Linked DNA regions of Lytechinus pictus. The protein of the gene in region 1 purifies or fractionates together with the protein of each later gene. This does not show direct contact. Links are inferred from orthologs where the notes say so. Each region holds a gene or a part of one and is shown in the gene's direction. Other genes may lie near its edges.

Region 1 (9,615 bases):
TTTTCTTTTTTTCTTTTTCATCTTTCTCCTTTTTTTTTTGCTTCGCCAATTTTTTTCAGGGGGGCACCTGGGGGGCACGTGCCCCCCCCCCAGGCCCCCCATCCGTAGCTACGCCACTGGTGAGAGTGTATATTAAAGGGAAAGACAAAAAGGTTTGGAGAGGATGAATGGCAAATTGTAGGGAAAAGGATGCGGCTGTGGGGCGTTACGGTTAATCTGGGTGTTGGTGTATAAGAGAGGGAGAGAGCTCTGGGGTAAAAGACAAAATATCGGGAGAGGGGGAGGGGCGAGTTGGTGGCACATCATTTTGAGTGGCCAGAAGTCGGGAGATGTGCATGTTTGTGTAGGAGGGGGTTGTGTCACTAATTTATATAGTATGTGTAGGCCTATGTGGGAAAGACACAAGATTGGTAGAGGGGTAAATCGTGTGTGAGGAAGCCAATAGTGCGCCTAAAATTATGTTTGTTTGTTTGATTATTAACCATGCATAATGGAAAAAAAAATTGACAGAATATAATAGTGCGCGTAAAATTATGTTTGTTTGTTTGATTATTAACAATGCATAATGGAAAAAAAAACAAATTGACAGAATATAATAGTGCGCGTAAAATTATGTTTGTTTGTTTGATTATTAACCATGCATAATGGAAAAAAAACAAATTGACAGAATATAATATAATGTTTTATTCATGATAATAATACACAGTAGGAATCAAGCATATGCAAATTATGTTGGAAATGCAGAGTCCTTTGAATAACATCGTAGAGTTATAAGTAACATGGCTAGCTAGATGTGTGTGGTGGATGTGTCCACTGAGGCTGTGCGTGCGTGTGTGTGGGTGTGAGGGAGTGTGGGTGAGTGTGTGTGTGTGTGTGAGATAGAGGGGGTAGAGAACACACATAAAATAGAGAGGGGGCTGGAGGGAGATGAAAACAATTGATTCGGTGATGTGATTCAATCATCAGTTTTGAATGAAAGAAAATACAACCATTATGACCATTGTGGGGAGCTAAAAATTATTTTCAATTTGAAAGAAGAAAAAATAAATGATAAAAGTACCACTTGGAACAAAATTGACAATATATTAGTGCCGCTGAAATGTGATACCCGCACACAAAAAAAAAAAAAACTATTCCTATTATTATTGTCACTTATGATTAATCACAACTCCAGTAAATGCAATCAACTCTCTGGCTTTTTGTTCATAGTGATACATTAGAATATTGTGTCTAATTATATACTATTTTCCCAACTTACCTATATTCCATAAGGATGATATGACGACAATGGGGTATCGCATTATTCGACAAGGCGAGTTCACCAAAAGCATATCGAAAATTCTGAGTTCAAGAAGAAAAAAAAAATCGCTAGCCCACAATCAGAACATATCACCGACAGTGGTCACTTTCCTTTAACCTGCTCAATTTCTAGGTTGTGGTGCTGGTAGCGGTGACGACTACGATATAATGCCGACGACGATGATGGTGTGGTGATGATGACGATGGTGGCAGAGATGGATATATTTTGCCACAAGTGTAAATGCAAAAACGAAAGAACAGCGTATGATTAATCTCTTGCTGCAGTAAATAATAAGCCAGTGTGTCTGTTTAAGACCTCAAATCATTACTTATTGATTATGAAAGATTGATATAAAGTAAACTAACACACAACTACCCGTCTGTAAGCGATACCATACATGGTCTGTTGTGTTCATTGTGTACTTCCGGAAATGTAAACACTTGATATTTCCTTCTAAGTGCGAACCTCATCATTAAATGTATTCTTTATGTTCATCATATTATAAGCAGCTCTTATGGTATGAAAATGAAACATCAAATGGAGAACGAGAAAGTGACGTAGATATGTGTCCTGTATGTGAGTGGAATTCAAGTACTCTAGATGGATTTAACCTTTTACTAAAAACGAAATTAAAAATATGTTACTAAAATGATAGAATAAATTGGGCATTTAGAAAGAATTTAAAAATGAATTCCATACAAACAAAGTTATTGTTTGATTGTGATAAAAAAAGCTCCAAACTGATTTCAGTATATGAAGAGTTTTGTTGCAAAAGGGGGTAGGTCCACTTTGGACTATTTCGAGAAAAATCATGTTTTTTTATTCTCACTTATTGCAATATTCTTATGAAAAACTTAAAGGAGAATGAAACCCTTAAAACCAGCTGAATCTATATCAAAGAGAAAAATCATAGAAACATATTGTTGAAAGTTTGAGGAAGATTGAATGAATAATAAGAAAGTTATGAGCATTCGAATATTGAGATCACTAGTGCCATGTAGATCCTCCCAACGGCAATGCGACCAAGATCTGTGATATCACACACGTACAACTCCCTCATTACTTTAGTACTTATTTCACTTATATTCTCACTTTTATAGAGTCTATCACAAGGTGAGGTGTTCTCTTTATGAGATGACAAGTACAGAGGTTTCACAACATTATATCATTGATGAATCGTTTGTCATATGATTAGAATGAGCAAAAAGAGATGTTTTGGGGTATATTTTCAGTGTCCAAATGGGAGAGTTGTACGTGTGTGACATCACAGATCTTGGTCGCATTACCAATGGGAGGATCTCCATAGCATTAGTGATCTCGACATTCAAATGCTCATAACTCTTTTATTGCTAGTCCTATTTTACTCAAAGTTTTGTTGATCTTATTCTTTGATTTTTCTGCTTTCACAAAAGCTAACTTGCTCCAAGAGTTTCATTCTCCTTTAATAATGTTGTCATGGTGTACAATCTTATCATGTAAACATACATTTGGGTATAAAAGAAATCTACCTGTCTTCAATTTTTTTAATATATTAAAAAAAAATTATTAAAAAAAAAAATTATTTGTGGACTGACCTTTCGCAAGCAAACTGAAACGAATCCAATCTCTTTTGAATAAAAACAGTGATTTTACTTTGCCACTTTATTTATGGACCTAACCCCTTTTGACAAATAAGCGCTTCAGAAGAGTTTGGTTGCAAAGGGGGTTAGGTCCACTGCAAGAAAATCATTTTTTTTATTCTCCCATATTGCAATATTCTCGTGCGAAACTAAATTTTCATGATAACATACCATGTGAACATAAAGTTGGGTATAACAGAAATGGTCTAGCTGACTTCTCAATTTAGAAAAAAAGATGGCGGAATTTCAACACCTTTTTATATAATTCTGGTGTAGGCCCACTAGCGTACCTACGGGGGGGGGGGGGGCAGGGGGGGGGCACTCTGCCCCCCCTGACGAGTCACAACCCATGCAAAACGTATCTTTGCCCCCCCCCTGACGAGCTTGAGAAACCTTTTTTGCCCCCCCCTGACGAGCTTTAAGACCTTTAATGCCCCCCTGACGAGCTTGAAGACCTTTTTTTTTTTTTTTTTTTTTTTTTTTTTTTTTTGCTTGTCAATTTTTTTCTGGTACGAAATCCTTTATTTGTGATCGAAGACTTTTTTTTTTTTTTTTTTTTTTTTTTTTTGCTTGTCAAATTTTTTGGTGGACGGTTTTGCCCCCCCATGTGGAAAATCCTAGGTACGCCACTGTGTAGGCCTTTAATAACCACTGTACAAGCTAGGGAAAAAGGAGGGATCCATGAAAATACAAAGGTTTATGAGTGTGTAGAACCCTCGAATAGAAATCATAAATCGACTCAGTTGTCAGATCTGACTTATCATGATCAGGCGAAAAAGTAATTAGGAAACGGATCCTAAAGTCTAGCTTATATATGTTTATTTTGATTGATTGATTGATTGATTAATTGATTGGTTGAATGATTCATTGATTGATTGAATTGCCGATTGATTGATGACGAATTCAGTTCACTTCAGCTTCAAATTTTCAACAAAATCATTAAAGTAAGGCGAAATATAAACAACTAACAAGTTAATGAACCGAAAAGGAATCAGCTTCGGGATTAGCTCCATCACAAATTCAAAATAGGCCTACTAAAAACCGGTACTCTACAGCTTACAAGCGGTTATACAAGCCTATAGGTGAGGATCTCATATCTGCATGGCAAGCTATATAATTTATATTCAAATTTTGAGAAAAAGATAAGCATTTATAACAGGGGCCGCGGAAGCGGGAGGCTTGGTGGTGGCTTCAGCCCCCCACTTTTTTTTCCAAAACCGTGTATAAAAAAACGTAAAAATGACCATATATATGATTTTGATTTTTTTGCATGGTCAGCCCCCCACTTTTGACTCAGCCCCCCCTCCCCCCCAACCACCTTGAAAACCGTTCCGCCGCCCCTAGCTGTATAGCACAGTTAGTTTTATTCACTCTCTCTACTACATATATATTTATACATTAAAGGAGAATGAAACCCTTGAAACCAGCTGAATCCATATCAAAAAGAAAAATCAAAGAAACATATTGTTGAAAGTTTGAGGAAGATTGAATGAATAATAAGAAAGTTATGAGCATTTGAATATTGAGATCACTAATGCCATGTAGATCCTCCCATTGGCAATGCGACCAAGATCTGTGATGTCACACACGTACAACTCCCTCATTACTTTAGTACTTATTTCACTTATATTCTCACTTTTATAGAGTCTATCACAAGGTGAGGTGTTCTTTTTATGAGAGGACAAGTACAGAGGTTTCACAACATTATATCATTGATGAATCGTTTGTCATATAATTAGAATGAGCAAAAAGAGATGTTTTGGGGTATATTTTCAGTGTCCAAAAGGGGAGAGTTGTTCATCTGTGACATCATAGATCTTGGTCGCATTGCCAATGTTAGGATCTCCATAGCATTAGTGATCTTGACATTCAAACGCTCATAACTCTTTTATTGCTAGTCCCATTTTACTCAAACTTTTGTTGATCTTATTCTTTGATTTTTCTGCTTTCACAAAAGCTAACTTGCTCCCAGAGTTTCATTCTCCTTTAAGCCTACTAAAGAACCCCCCCCCCCGAGAAATTGACACCCAATCAAGTGATCCAGTGAGAGATCCACCCCCCCCCCCCTCGAATTCCACTTAACCCGGAAGCGCTATTAAACCGACGTGGAATCCCAAGCCGGATTTTCTCATCGCTGACATAGGCATAGCTAGATCTAGGACTATATAATATTGGTAAAGTAATGTTTTTTAATCATATATTCTGAGTGTGTGTGTGTGAGTGAACAGCAAAACAAATGAAGTAAAATCTAGACGACTTTTTAATGCAATTTTTTACTCCGACTCGGTCCTCGGAGTCCGAGTGCAAAGCTAAGCGGTGATCGACGATTTCGCATGCTATATTTCGCGATCGCCTCTTGTCCCCGCCGCTCCGGCTCGCACGGCTGACTCGGTGTCGCCTCTAGTCTGTTCGGGCCTACTGGTAGTGAGAGAGTGAGACTTAGACTTGGAGTTCCATACATACATATAGGCCAATGATATAAATTAACGTTAGACTCAAGACTCTAAGTCTAACGTAAGCATGATTTTAGGGGTCAAAATATACTCCCCCCCCCAAAAAAAAATGGCCTTATCGTGAATGTAGTCTCTAAATAGACTAATGAGTAATGTCGGTGTGTGCGTACGCGTTGTGTAACGTGAATCATGGGAGTTGAAAGAAGTATACCGAGGGTTCGTATACTAATATAATAATACTAACCTCGCAATACGTGTGATTGACCGAGGGCGAGGAGATCATTTGGGTGTGGAAATGACCCACAACAACAACGAACGAAGTCACCAGCGCTGACGAAATAAACGGCAGTGAATGGATTGGTGACTCGAACCAGGATAAATGCCAAAAATATGAAAGTGAAACAGCATTTCTAGCTTAGCCTAAGCCTAGGGCTAGGCGCACGAACAGAGTCTAACATAGTCATAGACAGCTGGCAGCCGTCTGTTTCGAGGAGTTTTTTTACATTTCTTATTTTTACTTCTCGTACACAGACGGCTCGCGATCGTGCAGCTCCCATAAGGGGATTAACAATGCAAAATCCCCCCGACGGGGCTCATCATTTTTTTTTCTTTATTCCATAAAAATATATAAAAAGAACTGGACATGGACCAAAATAAAGATTATTAGATCTAGGCCTTTAGGGTCTAGGTCTAGGACCCTATTCCGTTTTGACCTGAAATGCACAAAAAGAGGAAAATATAAACTTAAAAGGAAAAACAACAGTGACTTATGCACCTAATGACCTATCAATTGTAAGACGCACCCCTCGACCCCCGGGAATGGTGTGTCATGGTAGGGTCATTTACCAACAGATTAGCGACGCAGGGTACCGTCATGGCACATACATTCGTAATTCCGAAGCTTCATTATTCCGAAGGTTCCGATATTCCGAAGGTTCATTAGTCCGAAAATGAAATGAGGTTCGTAATTCTGAAGGTTCGTTTGTCTGAAAACGAAGTGAGGTTTGTAATTCCGAAGGTTCGTTAATCTGAAAACGAAATGAGGTTCGTAATTCCGAAGGTTCGTTAGTCCGAAAATGAAATGATTAATGAACCTTATTTCGTGTTTGGACTAACGAACCTTCGGAACAACGAACCTTATTTCGTTCTCGGATTTACGAACCTTCGGAACAGCGTACCTTATTTCGTTTTCGGATTAACGAACCTTCGGAATAACGCCACAAATGTTCGGATAAACAAACCCTTTTACGTTTTCAGATTAACGAACATCGAGGTATAGGCAATTTACGTGTTTCGGAATTACGAACCTTCAGAATAAAGAACCTTCGGAATTACGAAGTGTAACCCCGTCATTGAAACATTTGGTCTATCACAGTTTGAGGATTGGGGTGCGTCAATGTCAGTCATTTTACCTGGGTGCGTCATGATGCCTCAGTGATACAAACGGGTATTAAAATGTTGTATAAAATCGGATCAAAATGAAATTGGATCGGCAGTTAAAGGAGAATGAAACTCTTGGAGCAAGTTAGCTTTTGTGAAAGCAAAAATATCAAAGAATAAGATCAACAAAAGTTTGAGTAACATAGGACTAGCAATAGAAGAGCTATGAGCATTTGAATGTCGAGATCACTAATGCTAAGGAGATCCTCCCATTGGCAATGCGACCAAGATCTATGATGTCACAGATGAACAACTCTCCCCTTTTGAACACTGAAAATATACCCCAAAACATCTCTTTTTGCTCATTCTAATCACATGACAAACGATTCATCAATGATATAATGTTGTGAAACCTCTGTACTTGTCCTCTCATAAAGAGAACACCTCGCCTTGTGATAGACTCTATAAAAGTGAGAATATAAGTGAAATAAGTATTAAAGTAATGAGCGAGTTGTACGTGTGTGACATCACAGATCTTGGTCGCATTGCCAATGGGAGGATCTACATGGCATTAGTGATCTCAATATTCAAATGCTCATAACTTTCTTATCATTCATTCAATCTTCCTCAAACTTTCAACAATATGTTTCTTTGATTTTTCTCTTTGATACGGATTCAGCTGGTTTCAAGGGTTTCATTCTCCTTTAAGCTTCTAAAATCCAAATGGAATCGCCGATATTTGAATACAAAGCTATCTATCAAAATTTTGTTGTCTTTCGCACGCATCTTCCTGACAACACAAAGTCGCAAAGAATAAAATGCAATAGAAGTCGCCAACATGCGCGATCGTTCGGAACATGTTTTAAAATCGTTTTGAGGGGCTAACGAGTTAAAATATATTTCATATACCTTTTGTTATGAACTCTCATTCTCCCAGAAGAAATATTAAAGACGCATTTTCTCGACAACGTTGGAAACGTAAATAAAACATAATAGAAGTTGGCAACATCTCATATTAGCGTGCGACCTTTCAAGACATATTTTAAAATTGTTTTTAGGCGCTAACGAGGGAATATATATTTTATATACCTTTCGTTATGAACTCCTGGGGGCGTTTCATGAAAGGACTTGTCGGACGTTTTATCCGACAAGTCCCATTTTATCCAACAGTTACCATAGTAACAGTTCCTCTCAGCCAATCAACATCAGAAAAAGATGTCAGATCTGACAACCTGTCAGATGAAATTGTTGATGAAACACTCCCCAGTTCTCCCAAAAGAAATATAATTGATGCAGTATTTCAACACCTCGGAAAGGAAAATAGAAGTCACAAACATCTAAGATTAAATGATTGGGACACCATTTTTGCTGAGGTGCTAATTAGTTAAAATATATTTTATGTACTTTTCCGTATGAATCCTTGTTTTCTGAGAAGAAATATAAATGACGCATATTTCGACATTATCAGAAAGGAAAACAAATGAATCGGCTGCCGATCCGATGATCAGTTACAGGGTTACCTTTTATAAGAGTTCAAGGCGGCCTCCGCTATCACCACGAAACATCGTCAGATAATAGCGCTATACACGTATTGCATTCCATTGCATTCATATTATAGCTCTATTATGCGCCACGCAGCACTTACACACACAAGACATCATACTTCACATGCTTCAGAGCTAGAGTCTATTCCGAATCTTACGTTTTACTCTGACGAAGTTGCGTCAGGGAGACGGTCATGGTTGGTCAAAATCTTGAACTGGTGCGTCACTTTTTTTCTTTCTTGGCAGGGTCATTGTAAGTAAAGGTGCGTCATTGTTAAGACACACATGTGCGTCATGGTACCACAAAATCTGACTCACGTTTGACAAGTGACCCACCATTCCCGGGGGTCGAGGGGTGCGTCATACAATTGATAGGTGCATTACATCGGCTGTCGCGCAACTCCCACTTCCCTGGTTTATTGGAACTATTAACATATGGCCATTGAGTCCCTGTACAGATCGAGTTAGAACTTTGGTTTCTGTAATTGGTGAGTGGAGCCAACAAAGTTCTGCGGATCAACCACTATAACAGAGACCGAAGCTTTTGGTCTAAGTCTAACATAGACACTAAGACAGGACTAGCCATCTTTTCTGGGGATTTATTTAAAGGACAAGACCACCCCAACAAAAAGTTGATTTGAATAAAAAGAGAAAAATCCAACAAGCAAAACACTGAAAACTTCATCAAAATGGTAAGTAAAATGAGAAAGTTATGACATTTTAAACAGTTAAAGTTTTGTTTATTTTCACAAAACAGTTCTTGTCGGTATACAAATGAGGAGACCGATGACGTCATCCACTCACTATTTCTTTTGTATTCTATTACATGAAATATGAAATATTCTAATTTTTTCATTGTCAAGTGAAACTATGATTGATTCTTCCATGAACATGTTAAACTAGCATTGCTTAAAACTATATGATTCAGTCAAGTTGGTCCCTATTGTCAAATCTATAGAAAATGAAATATGGTATAATTCAAACAATAACAAACAAAAGAAATGGTGAGTGACGGTCATCATTGACTGTCTCATTTGCATGTCACTGAGTTGTGCATATCACTGTTTTGTGAAAAATAAGTGAAATTTTAAAATGTCATAACTTTCTTATTTTACATCCAATTTTGATGAAAATTTCAGTGTTATGCTGGTTTGATTTGTTTCCTTTATTTATTCGAATCAACATTTTTCTGGGTGGGGGGTGGACATAACCTTTAACAATTTCGGACATTTTACCATCATCCCCATTTGCCGACAGTAGTACGTTAGTGCGAGCCCACATGTGTAATCTACACAACACCATTTCAGAAGATTGTTTTT
Region 2 (9,860 bases), on another chromosome or scaffold:
TCCTCCAATTAAATGAAAGGAAAAGAAAACGACACCCAACATAGCTTAGGACGTACACAGCAGCAATAAAGGACTTTTCGGAAAGTTTTAATTCAAGATACTATTATGGTATATCATATTCATTCTGATGTTTAAAATTGACGTGTTAAATCACAATGCAAAACAGTTCAAAATTAACAAAACTGGGCACGGACCACCCACTGGGCATTTTACCTGACATTACCCGGGTTGTAACAGGTAATAACATGGATATTACTACGGTAACAACAGTGGGTAATAACAGGGAAATAGTAGACCAATCCTTCCCTCTTATTACCTGGACCTGATATTACTCCATTTATACCCAATATTTCTCAGTATGATGTAACTACTATTTCCAGCATTTTAATGATATCACCACCTCATATTACTCTGTTTACCCAATATTACCCAATTAATGTCGGCTCATTAAAAAAACAATTAGTGTCATTAGGGTAATTGAAGCACATTTTTACAACTCCATACTCTAAGCCATATCATTTTATCCTATCCTAAAATCCTACATCCTAATCCTAATCCTATCCTACACCTATCCACCAAACCCTGTCATTTACTTCTATATATTGAGCGAGTTTACAACACTTGACAAATTATGGTTAACAATTATTCAAACCTAAAACATTTTTCTAAAATTAATGTCATGATTATGACTAATATGATATATAAACTACACATTTTTCTGAAAATTTTCTGGGTGGAATAATTGCATAAACATAAACACATTAATTATTACAGCTATATTAGCTAAAATTTTGGCCATTTATTGTAGTAATGAATATTCATGAGTAACTAATATTCCCAGCATTTTCCTGATATTACCATCTGATATTACTCCATTTACCCAATATTAATGGGTTCCGCATGGGTAGGAGGTCTCGTTTCCATCTGAGTCCTATCTGGGCACCATGTGGGTTCAAGTATATGTTTTCATTTGGGTTCCATGTGGGCCCATATGGGACCCAGATATCCCAGATAAGAACCGTATGTGATCCAGATACTTTGCTGTCTGGGAATGGAAGCGTTTCAACATTACCCATTACCCCTTATCAACCTGTTTGTAACTGGGTAAAATGTTGGTTTCATCAGGGTGATAACAGTAATTTTTTGGACTTTGAAAATTTCGCTGGGATTGCTGTAAGATTGCTCTTATTACTAAAGTTTGCAATGTTATAACCAATCAAAGTCATTCAACATTACCCTTATTACCCCTCATCACCCTGTTGTAACTAGGTAAATGTAGGTTTCATCAGGGTGATAACAGTAACAGGTATCAACAGGAATTATAATTTCGGTAATAACGGTAATATTTGGTGTTACTCAAATTTCCGGGTGATATTACCGGTAATAACCGGTAAAATTGGTAATCGGTAACAAATTGCCCAGTGGGCAGTAGCGTACCGTGAACCGCAGGAGACAAAGCATTGGGGGGGGGGGGGCACTGCATTGTCTGTGAACAATGCTTTGCCCCCCCAATGCTTTGTCTCCTCCGAGTCACGGTACGCTACTGGCACGGACTGCATGGGCATGCAGCATTCGGGCATGCCACATGGTATCCCGATGGATGGGAGGACCCTGTCTATCCCCCACTGCACGATAGTAATGAAAAAAATAATATGTTTTATGTGAATATATATACATTATTATTGTTATTTTTATTATTATTAATAATATCATCATTATTGTTGTTATTATTATTATCATTATTATCATTGTTATTATTATTCAATATCATTACTATCATTATTTTTATTATCATTATTATTATTTTTAGTTATTATTATTATTACATAATATTATTACATAATTTTTGATAATACTGTTCTTTGAAAATGTTTCAGAGACAAGATTTTTGGGGGTTACTATTGATAATAAGCTATCATGGAAACCACACATCAATAATACATGCAAAACAATTTCAAGAAACATCGGAATTATCAACAAACTCAAATATTTTCTCCCATCTCACACTTTACTTACACTGTATCATACATTAATATTACCATACATTAATTATGGCATTTTGGCATGGGGTTGCGCGATCCAAACACAATTACAAAGAATACTGTTGCTGCAGAAGAAGGCTCTTAGAATAATTTTTCAAACCCAATTCAGATCACACACAGATATACTATTCTTCCAAAATAATATTCTTAAAGTGAGTGATTTATATCTTTTCCAACTCGCCCAATTTATGTATAAACTAAACAAAGATGATCTCCCAACAATTTTTTTCAAATATGTTCTGTAAAAACTCCTCTATACACGATTACCCAACGAGACAACGTAATTGTTATCACCTACCCCCTACCCGTACTATATTAGCGAAAAACTCTTTTATCTTTTTTGGACCTGTGTATTGGAATTCCCTGCCCAACGACTTTAAAGAATCTACAAACCTTAATATTTTTAAACGCAAACTTAAAAAGATGCTCATTTGTCAATACTCCACACCAACAAGTCAAGTTAACACATAACCTAAACTAAAACTACATAATAACTTAACCTTTAACTGCCAATAAATTTGTTAAACTTTACTTATAAAAAAAAAAAAAAAACACTACAACATGATACAATACATTACGACCTGTGCACCTGCCATGTTCCTCTTTTCATTTGCACTTTTTATTTGCACCTCCCTTATCTCCCTCTTTCTTTCCTTTGCCACTTTTCCCTCCCTATTATGATTTTGTAAGTACTTTTTTTTGTGTTACCACTGTAATTATTATTATTTGAATTACTTTCTATTATTTTTGTTGTCGCTTATTCGTTTTATTTTTATATTTGTGGATTACTTGTTTTAAGTTGTCTTCTGTGTCCGTCTCGATTTTTGTATAGAGTTGTATATATAGTTTGTTTATAATTAGTATTGAAACTAAGTTTAGGGGCTTGCCTTCTCTACAAGCTTTTGCTTTTCTTGGCAAGTCCCTCCGTTCATTTCTTGTTTCTTTTCATTGATAATATTACTGCAACAAATTGTAGTTTTGTTTAATTTATATTCAACATTTGTTACGAAATTTCATTGATTTGTCTGTATTATCGATTATATTGAATATGTATTGTTACTTTGATTATATTTTGAAAAAATTGTTGAACGGAAATAAAATCTAAATCTAAAATCTAAAATCTATTATCATCATCATCATCATCATTATTATTATTATTATTATCACTAAAGCAAAACTATTATTATAATTATCATTCATCATCATCATTATTGTTGTTCTTGTTTGTTCTTGCAGCTGTTGTTGTTGTTGTTGTAATCCTAATAATACCTTTGTTTGATTGTCATCTATACAATAGGTGCAATCATAATCATATTTTTCTTCTTCTTCTAGTTCTTCGATCTTCTTTTATGCATTTCTTCTTCTTCTTCTTCTTCTTCTTAATTCTTCTTCTTCTCCTTCTTCTTCTTCTTCTTCCTTTGTTATTTTGGAACACTTTAAACAGCAGGAGTATTAATAGGATGCTTAAAAAAAGTATAGCATAACAGTGCGTCTATACATTATACACTTTTGAAATGGCTGCCAAATAAAAAAATCACTGGGGGATCTATATAATAGAAAGCCAATAAAGTCAAGTTTCAAATGACACCAAAAATTTGGAAAACTATTCATGCTTGAGTGAGCACTGCATGCCCACTTAAATAAAGGGTTAAAACTGGACAGAAATTAGCCTTCCAATTTATTTCAGTCTTTGAAATTCGAGTCCTTTTCAACTTGCAAAGTTGAGGGTGTTGTGAAAAATTAACTCGTGAGCAGTTTTGCTTGTTGAGCAAATTTCATAAATATGAATTGCAAAGTTTATGTTTATGTTTATTTCAACTTTATCATGTGGATCTCAGCAGTGTGTTCATGGGAGTGGGTGAATTAGGTTTCCGTGATAAGAGTCAACAGAACATTTAGCCCCCCCTCCCCCCTCTCTCTCTCTTCCTGCTGGAGACTGATGAACGCATATGAAATTCAGAACGGGCTGTTATATTTCTGAAAATTAGGGCATCAACTCTAATCTATCAATCATTTAATCAACAATTTATCTGATCAAACATTCACTCATCGTTCAACATTTTCAATAAATTATTTTTAATAAGATCAACTTCTTAAATAAAAAAATGACCCATCAACCATCGGTCACTTGAGCAGTAAAGATTTGAACACCAGCCAGGAACTGAGACAGGGAGAGGAGAGGGGGGGTGCATGGAGGTGGAGGTGGGGGTTTAAACACGAAGATTTAGAATGTCCGTTTAACCAGTCTTACCCCCGAATATCTTGCCCCTTGCATCAGTTGCATGCAACATATGTCGACATATATCACATTCTCCTGACTCTCAGTCACGTACGCCGTTCTCACGAACACACTGCTGAGATCCTCATGATAAAGTTAAAATCCGACACTTAAATGCATTTTCATCAATTTCATGTTCAGTCCACGAGTATAGAGCAGAGGCGTCGATCATGGGGGGGGGGGGGGGGCAGGGGGGGCGATCGCCCCACCAATGAAAATATTGGGGGGCAAACATATCGTTTTGCCCCCCCCCCCAATAATTCTGCATGTGCAAAAAATAAAATAAGATTGTAATATTACACAGAAATCAGCAAGCGAGATTGAGATACACAACTCGTTCTTTATTTAAAATCGTGCTCAAAATGTCAGCTTTTCAGAGTGGAATATAAAAATTTTCAGCTCGCGCTTCGCGCTCGCATCATTTCTGTAGCAAAAACTCATACTTTTCAATGATTAAATAGGTAAATAGAATGTCCCGCTTTCAGGTCTAAACCTCAAAAGAACTAACGCTTCGATATGCAATAATCTTTTGTTGAATATATATCTTGTTCTGTATTAAAAACGTCCACTAAACTCAATTTTTTTTTCAGATCGAAATATCAAAATTTTCAGCTCGCGCTCGCATCTTTTGCTTTTTTTTTAGATACCCATCTTAATCATTGGTACCAAAAATGCTTAGAATATCAAGCTTTCAGGTCAGAATATAAAGAAATTTCAGCTCGCTCTCGGCACTCGCATTATTTGTGTATTAAGATATGTATTCTCCTCAGGAGTTACTACTACAAAGAGTCCTAAACAGGCACCTTTTTCCTGTTATCAGGTCAGTATACTAAAAAATTTCAGCTCGCGCTTCGCGCTCGCATTAATTTGTTGATGAGATATCTCATGAGTCATATATATATATATATATATATATATAGGCATATGTGTGTGTGTGTGTGTGAGTTTGTTTTGTGTGATCGAGCGCCTTTGGAAATTTGATTCATGATTTTGCCCCCCCATGCAATCTGAAAAATGGATCGACGCCCCTGGTATAGAGGCCATGGAGGCCAGTGCATGGTTCACTCATGCCATCAACCTACTTAAATGACCGAAGTCCTTATTTTACCCCCTATTGAAAGCTGATGACATGAAACAGTTAAAATGCTGCACTAAATTGCAATATATTATGTTCACTCATGCATTGAATTTCAAGTTAATAATTAATAAAATTTGCTCAAGAAACCAAAACCCGGGACCAAAACTGATCTCATCAATTTCCCGGCTAATATATCACAACATCGTCAACTTCAGCCTCCGATTCATCACACCAGTTAGATCATATACCCCGCAATCGTGACTTACAAAACAGAAATCAATGTGTGAGATATGAGAATCTGAAAGAAGGGGTATAAGGGGAGTGGTGCACTCTAGCCAGCTGTGGTCGAATCAGAAAATTAATATAAACGGCTGAAATGAGCCTAACATTTACGTGTCGACAGTCGATATTTTTTGAGAAAATTTCCGAGGTTATTTCTTATTTCAAGTACCGGTATTGAACGTTATTCTAACTTTTCTCAAGCACAAATAGGAGTGGAAACTACAATGAAGTGGTTTGAAGGACAGATTTCTAGTGCTATTGCCCAGGCCAGGCAGCAGAAAAGTGTATTTATGGTATACATTCGAGGTAAACTCGCGCAGTATTGTTTTCGCAATGTCATCCCTGCATGCGGGGGTTGCAACCCGTGAGCTACCGGAGCTACCCGGTGTCGCCAGCTCCAGGGCGCGGCGGCATTCCGCTGTGATGTGGATCGTGGATGTGCATGGCAGAGCTCCTCGTGCTGTGACTTCCTTCAATTTAGTCTTAGATCTATAGACATACAAAATCATGAAATTGTGGACATTCCAAATTGTTCCCTGTATGATTTCATTCTCATTATTTTACAAGATGTGTAGATAATATGAAAAATCGAAATGAAAATTGTGAAATTGTATCTCAAGAGTCAAGTCAATTGAGCAAAACTGCAATCTGCATTGCCCTTTTTTTGGTAAATTTGAAACTCACCAAAGTCAAACTTCAAAGACAAAAGATTGTTTGATTGTAGAAAAATAAAATAGGGGTCTAACGTTAACAAGTGGATCTAATGTCAATGGCGATAAATTGCCGGTAATGCAGTTTTGCCATGGCTGACTTTGACTTTTGAGAGAATTTCCCCACCAGTATTGTTCGCTTTTCCGAATAGATCTAGGCCTATCGCGATCAGGAATGATCAGCTTTGATTGATCGATCTCGATGTAATCTCAGACATCACGTTGCTTAGAGTTTGATTCACCATTATTTTGATATTTCGCTTAAGTTAGCGACCAAAATATGAACGTGAACAAACAGCTGCCACAGGCAGATCATTTGGTAGACCAAAAGCTTCAGTCTCTGTATTTTGGTTGTTCCGCTGAACTGCGTTGGCTCACTCACCAATACATAGTATGGGGATTATAGTAAAATGTCAGAAATTGTTGAATAAATCCCCAGAAACGACGGTTATTCCTGTCTAATCATTTGGTTGCTAATTTCATTCCATATCAAAATTAAGGGAAAACCAAGCATTGCCAAGCAAAGCAATGTCTGAATTAGAATTCAACAATGACCTTGAGATCCAACCGATCGCAATATTCTGAAAAGCGATACGTATATTGACCTTGAATTGATTGAGAGACTTGCTGTGACATTTGCGAACCATTACAAAATGTACTAGAGGGGAAATTTGGCCGGCACGAAATTTCATTAGCGCCATGTCAATGACAAAGGTGCATGCGGGTTTGTTAGTACTTAGTAGGCAAACATCAGCAACATAGCCTCATACATGATCTTCAAGACCAGAGTAAATGGGTTGTCTATTGCCCGTCAAGACAAAGAACAAAGTCAACAAATATGTTTTTGTTAAAAATTCATGAATCAAAACAGCAAATTGTAAATGATCTAGATATAGTCGTTGTATCTGGACAAACAATGTATTTGCAATTTTGTTATCAGCATCGAAAGTTACCGGTAGGACGAAACTTCTGATGTTCTGATTCACCAATTTTTGACAAAGATTTCTTAGTTGTTCTTTAAGACTCCGGGGAGGGGGGGGGGGCACTTCCATTGACGGGTGGATACCATGCGCGACCATGGGGTCTCGTAAAGTACCCTAAACAAGTATTTTCCATATTCTGAAAATGCACCCCTTAACAAGTATTGGCGTGTGACTGAAACACTACCCTTAACAAGTAATGGAAACAAAACGATACCCTTGGCAAGTATTCCCTGAATAAAACCTCTAAACAAGTACAGCGATATTTTAGTTATGTCACGGACGTCTGTCGTTGGTTTTACCTTTACCTACATTGGGTATACGGCCCAACCTCCCACACCTCGCGTAAATCAGACTCTAAACACGTAGTGTTGACGGGGCAAAAATAAAACATTTTAGTCTTTTTTATACCCTCGCGAATTTGACCCTAAACACGTAGCTTTCCAAGCAACCTTTTTTTTCATTATTTTAGCGTTTTGACACCCTTATTACGTTATGTACGTAACGACAACGTGCCCTACAGTATCTTGAAAAAGACATCCTTTTTACAAGTTTTTGGGGGTTGCACATGGTATCCACTCGTCAATGTAAGTGGGCCCCCCCCCCCCCTTAAGACTCATTTGACGGGCAGTCCACAGTAAATTTACTCTGTTCTTGAACCTTCATACGTTTTTGTTAATCGTTGGTTTTTAACATTCTAAATTTTGCTAAAGCAAACTTAATTCTTACCCTGCTCCAAATCTTTATATGGGATGAAAGAATCTATAAATCCTTCAAAATATGTGAAATATTTTCCTCCTGAAATTTCTTCATTTTAGTAAGATCTTCACGAATAACGCACTTCTGGAAGTGCTAAGTACGCTTCGCACTTCTGGAAGTGCGAAGTAATGAGTAGTAAATTGTATTTTGCTGATTTGAAATATCCAATATAATTAGTATACAACCATGTTGAGCATGGGCAGACTCGCATTGATCCAGCGCATAAGTTCATTGACTCAGCTGCAGTCTTGAAGCCTCTGTGCATTAACAGAGCTATGTTAAGATGCCAACCCTCTTCAATTTGATAACACTAATATCACCCCACTTTAAAAATGGAATGATACCAAGTACAAATATATTAGAAACTTCCTTTTAATACCAAGTATTGGTAACGTTCATCGGCAGAGTACATGTAGGACACATCATTTGCTGAGTAAGGGCAATGTTTCAATTGTCTGGTTGGTGATACTGGCCTGATGGCACAATTGTTTCTGACATGGGTGAAGTTTTCTCACCATCCTAGAAAGCAACCTTGGTGATGATAGTTTGATGCATCACTTCACCAACAGTACATGTTGTCTTTCTGTATTTAACATGGTTTTCATATTTGTACCAAACTTTTGTCATTTTAATTTACCAGGGTCAAATGAGGATTCCCAGAAGATGGATGCTACATGGGAGGAGGATGCAGTCAACAAAACTTGCCAAGAATCAGGGATCGTTGTCATGCGATTCCAAGCAGATAGGTAGGAATCAATTTACATTTTAAAAGGGGCAATTCCGTGAAATAACCAACCTTTTTGTCCATCCGATGCCCATTTTTCTTCATTCTCTTTTCACTTTGTGAATTGTCCAAGTCATTAGTCATTTGAGATCATTACAGATTTTCATGAGAATTAGAAAACTGAGGCAAATGATTCATGAAGATCTTACATGTAGTGTGTCAATGTATATATGTAAGACTTGCAGACAAAGACTTCATGGAAGGAAAGCAGGCTAGATCCAAACACATAACTGATCAGGATACCATTAAAAGTACTCTAGCAACAATTTAGTTATGTCTAAGAATGTTCTCAACCATCAAGGTAGATTAGGTGATGTACTGGGTAAAAATATGTCAACTGGACTCAATTTGTTTTTTCCAGTTTCTGCATTTCACACTACATGTATCTATAGGATGTGAAATTGATTGTTCACTTGTAACAGGGTCGAGGGATTTTGTCCCTGTCCAGTATTATGCCTGTATTGTAAACTCTGGTGTTAACTCAAATAAGGGTCTAATTCTATGGTTAAACTATAGATAGCCCTATTGACAAAAATCTTTTTAAAGGTCAGTCTCAGAAAGGGGTATCCAGACATCGCTTGCAAGCACTAACATCTGGCTGTAGTGTTGCTTCCTTGTAATATGCAACTTAGTCTGGTTAGAAGCTCCTGTCTCTCATAAATGTTACAAAACCAATGACTATGATCCTTGCAAAATTCAAACAGGTCTCCAAAATGATGCAAATGGATTTCAATACTTTTTAGTTTTAAACTTTTCTTTCTCATTTTTTTCCTCCTGTAATTGTTGTCAGGCATGGTTGTGATGAAATAATGTTTCTATTTGACGTTGAACATTCATCTCTCTCTCTTTTTCTTTGCAGTGAAGAGTGCAAGCAGTTTTCTGTATATTGTATCCTTTGATTTATCATCTATAATTTTATGTTGACCTTCTGTAAAAATTTGCAATAA

The links.
Region 2: the proteins of ubiquitin conjugation factor E4 A-like (region 1) and UBX domain-containing protein 4-like purify together in Homo sapiens (affinity purification with mass spectrometry; 3 studies listed by BioGRID and IntAct, counting the BioPlex papers as one, with this or other methods). This does not show direct contact. The link is inferred for Lytechinus pictus from reciprocal best matches to the Homo sapiens genes UBE4A and UBXN4.

The regions. Positions count from the first base shown.
Region 1 is NC_087252.1:12,360,810-12,370,424, forward strand, and holds the start of ubiquitin conjugation factor E4 A-like, read left to right. Parts: upstream 1-4,999; 5' UTR 5,000-5,093; intron 5,094-9,615.
Region 2 is NC_087247.1:7,110,441-7,120,300, forward strand, and holds the start of UBX domain-containing protein 4-like, read left to right. Parts: upstream 1-5,767; 5' UTR 5,768-5,904; coding exon 5,905-5,986; intron 5,987-8,769; coding exon 8,770-8,875; intron 8,876-9,772; coding exon 9,773-9,801; intron 9,802-9,860. UniProt on the Homo sapiens protein: Involved in endoplasmic reticulum-associated protein degradation (ERAD). Acts as a platform to recruit both UBQLN1 and VCP to the ER during ERAD.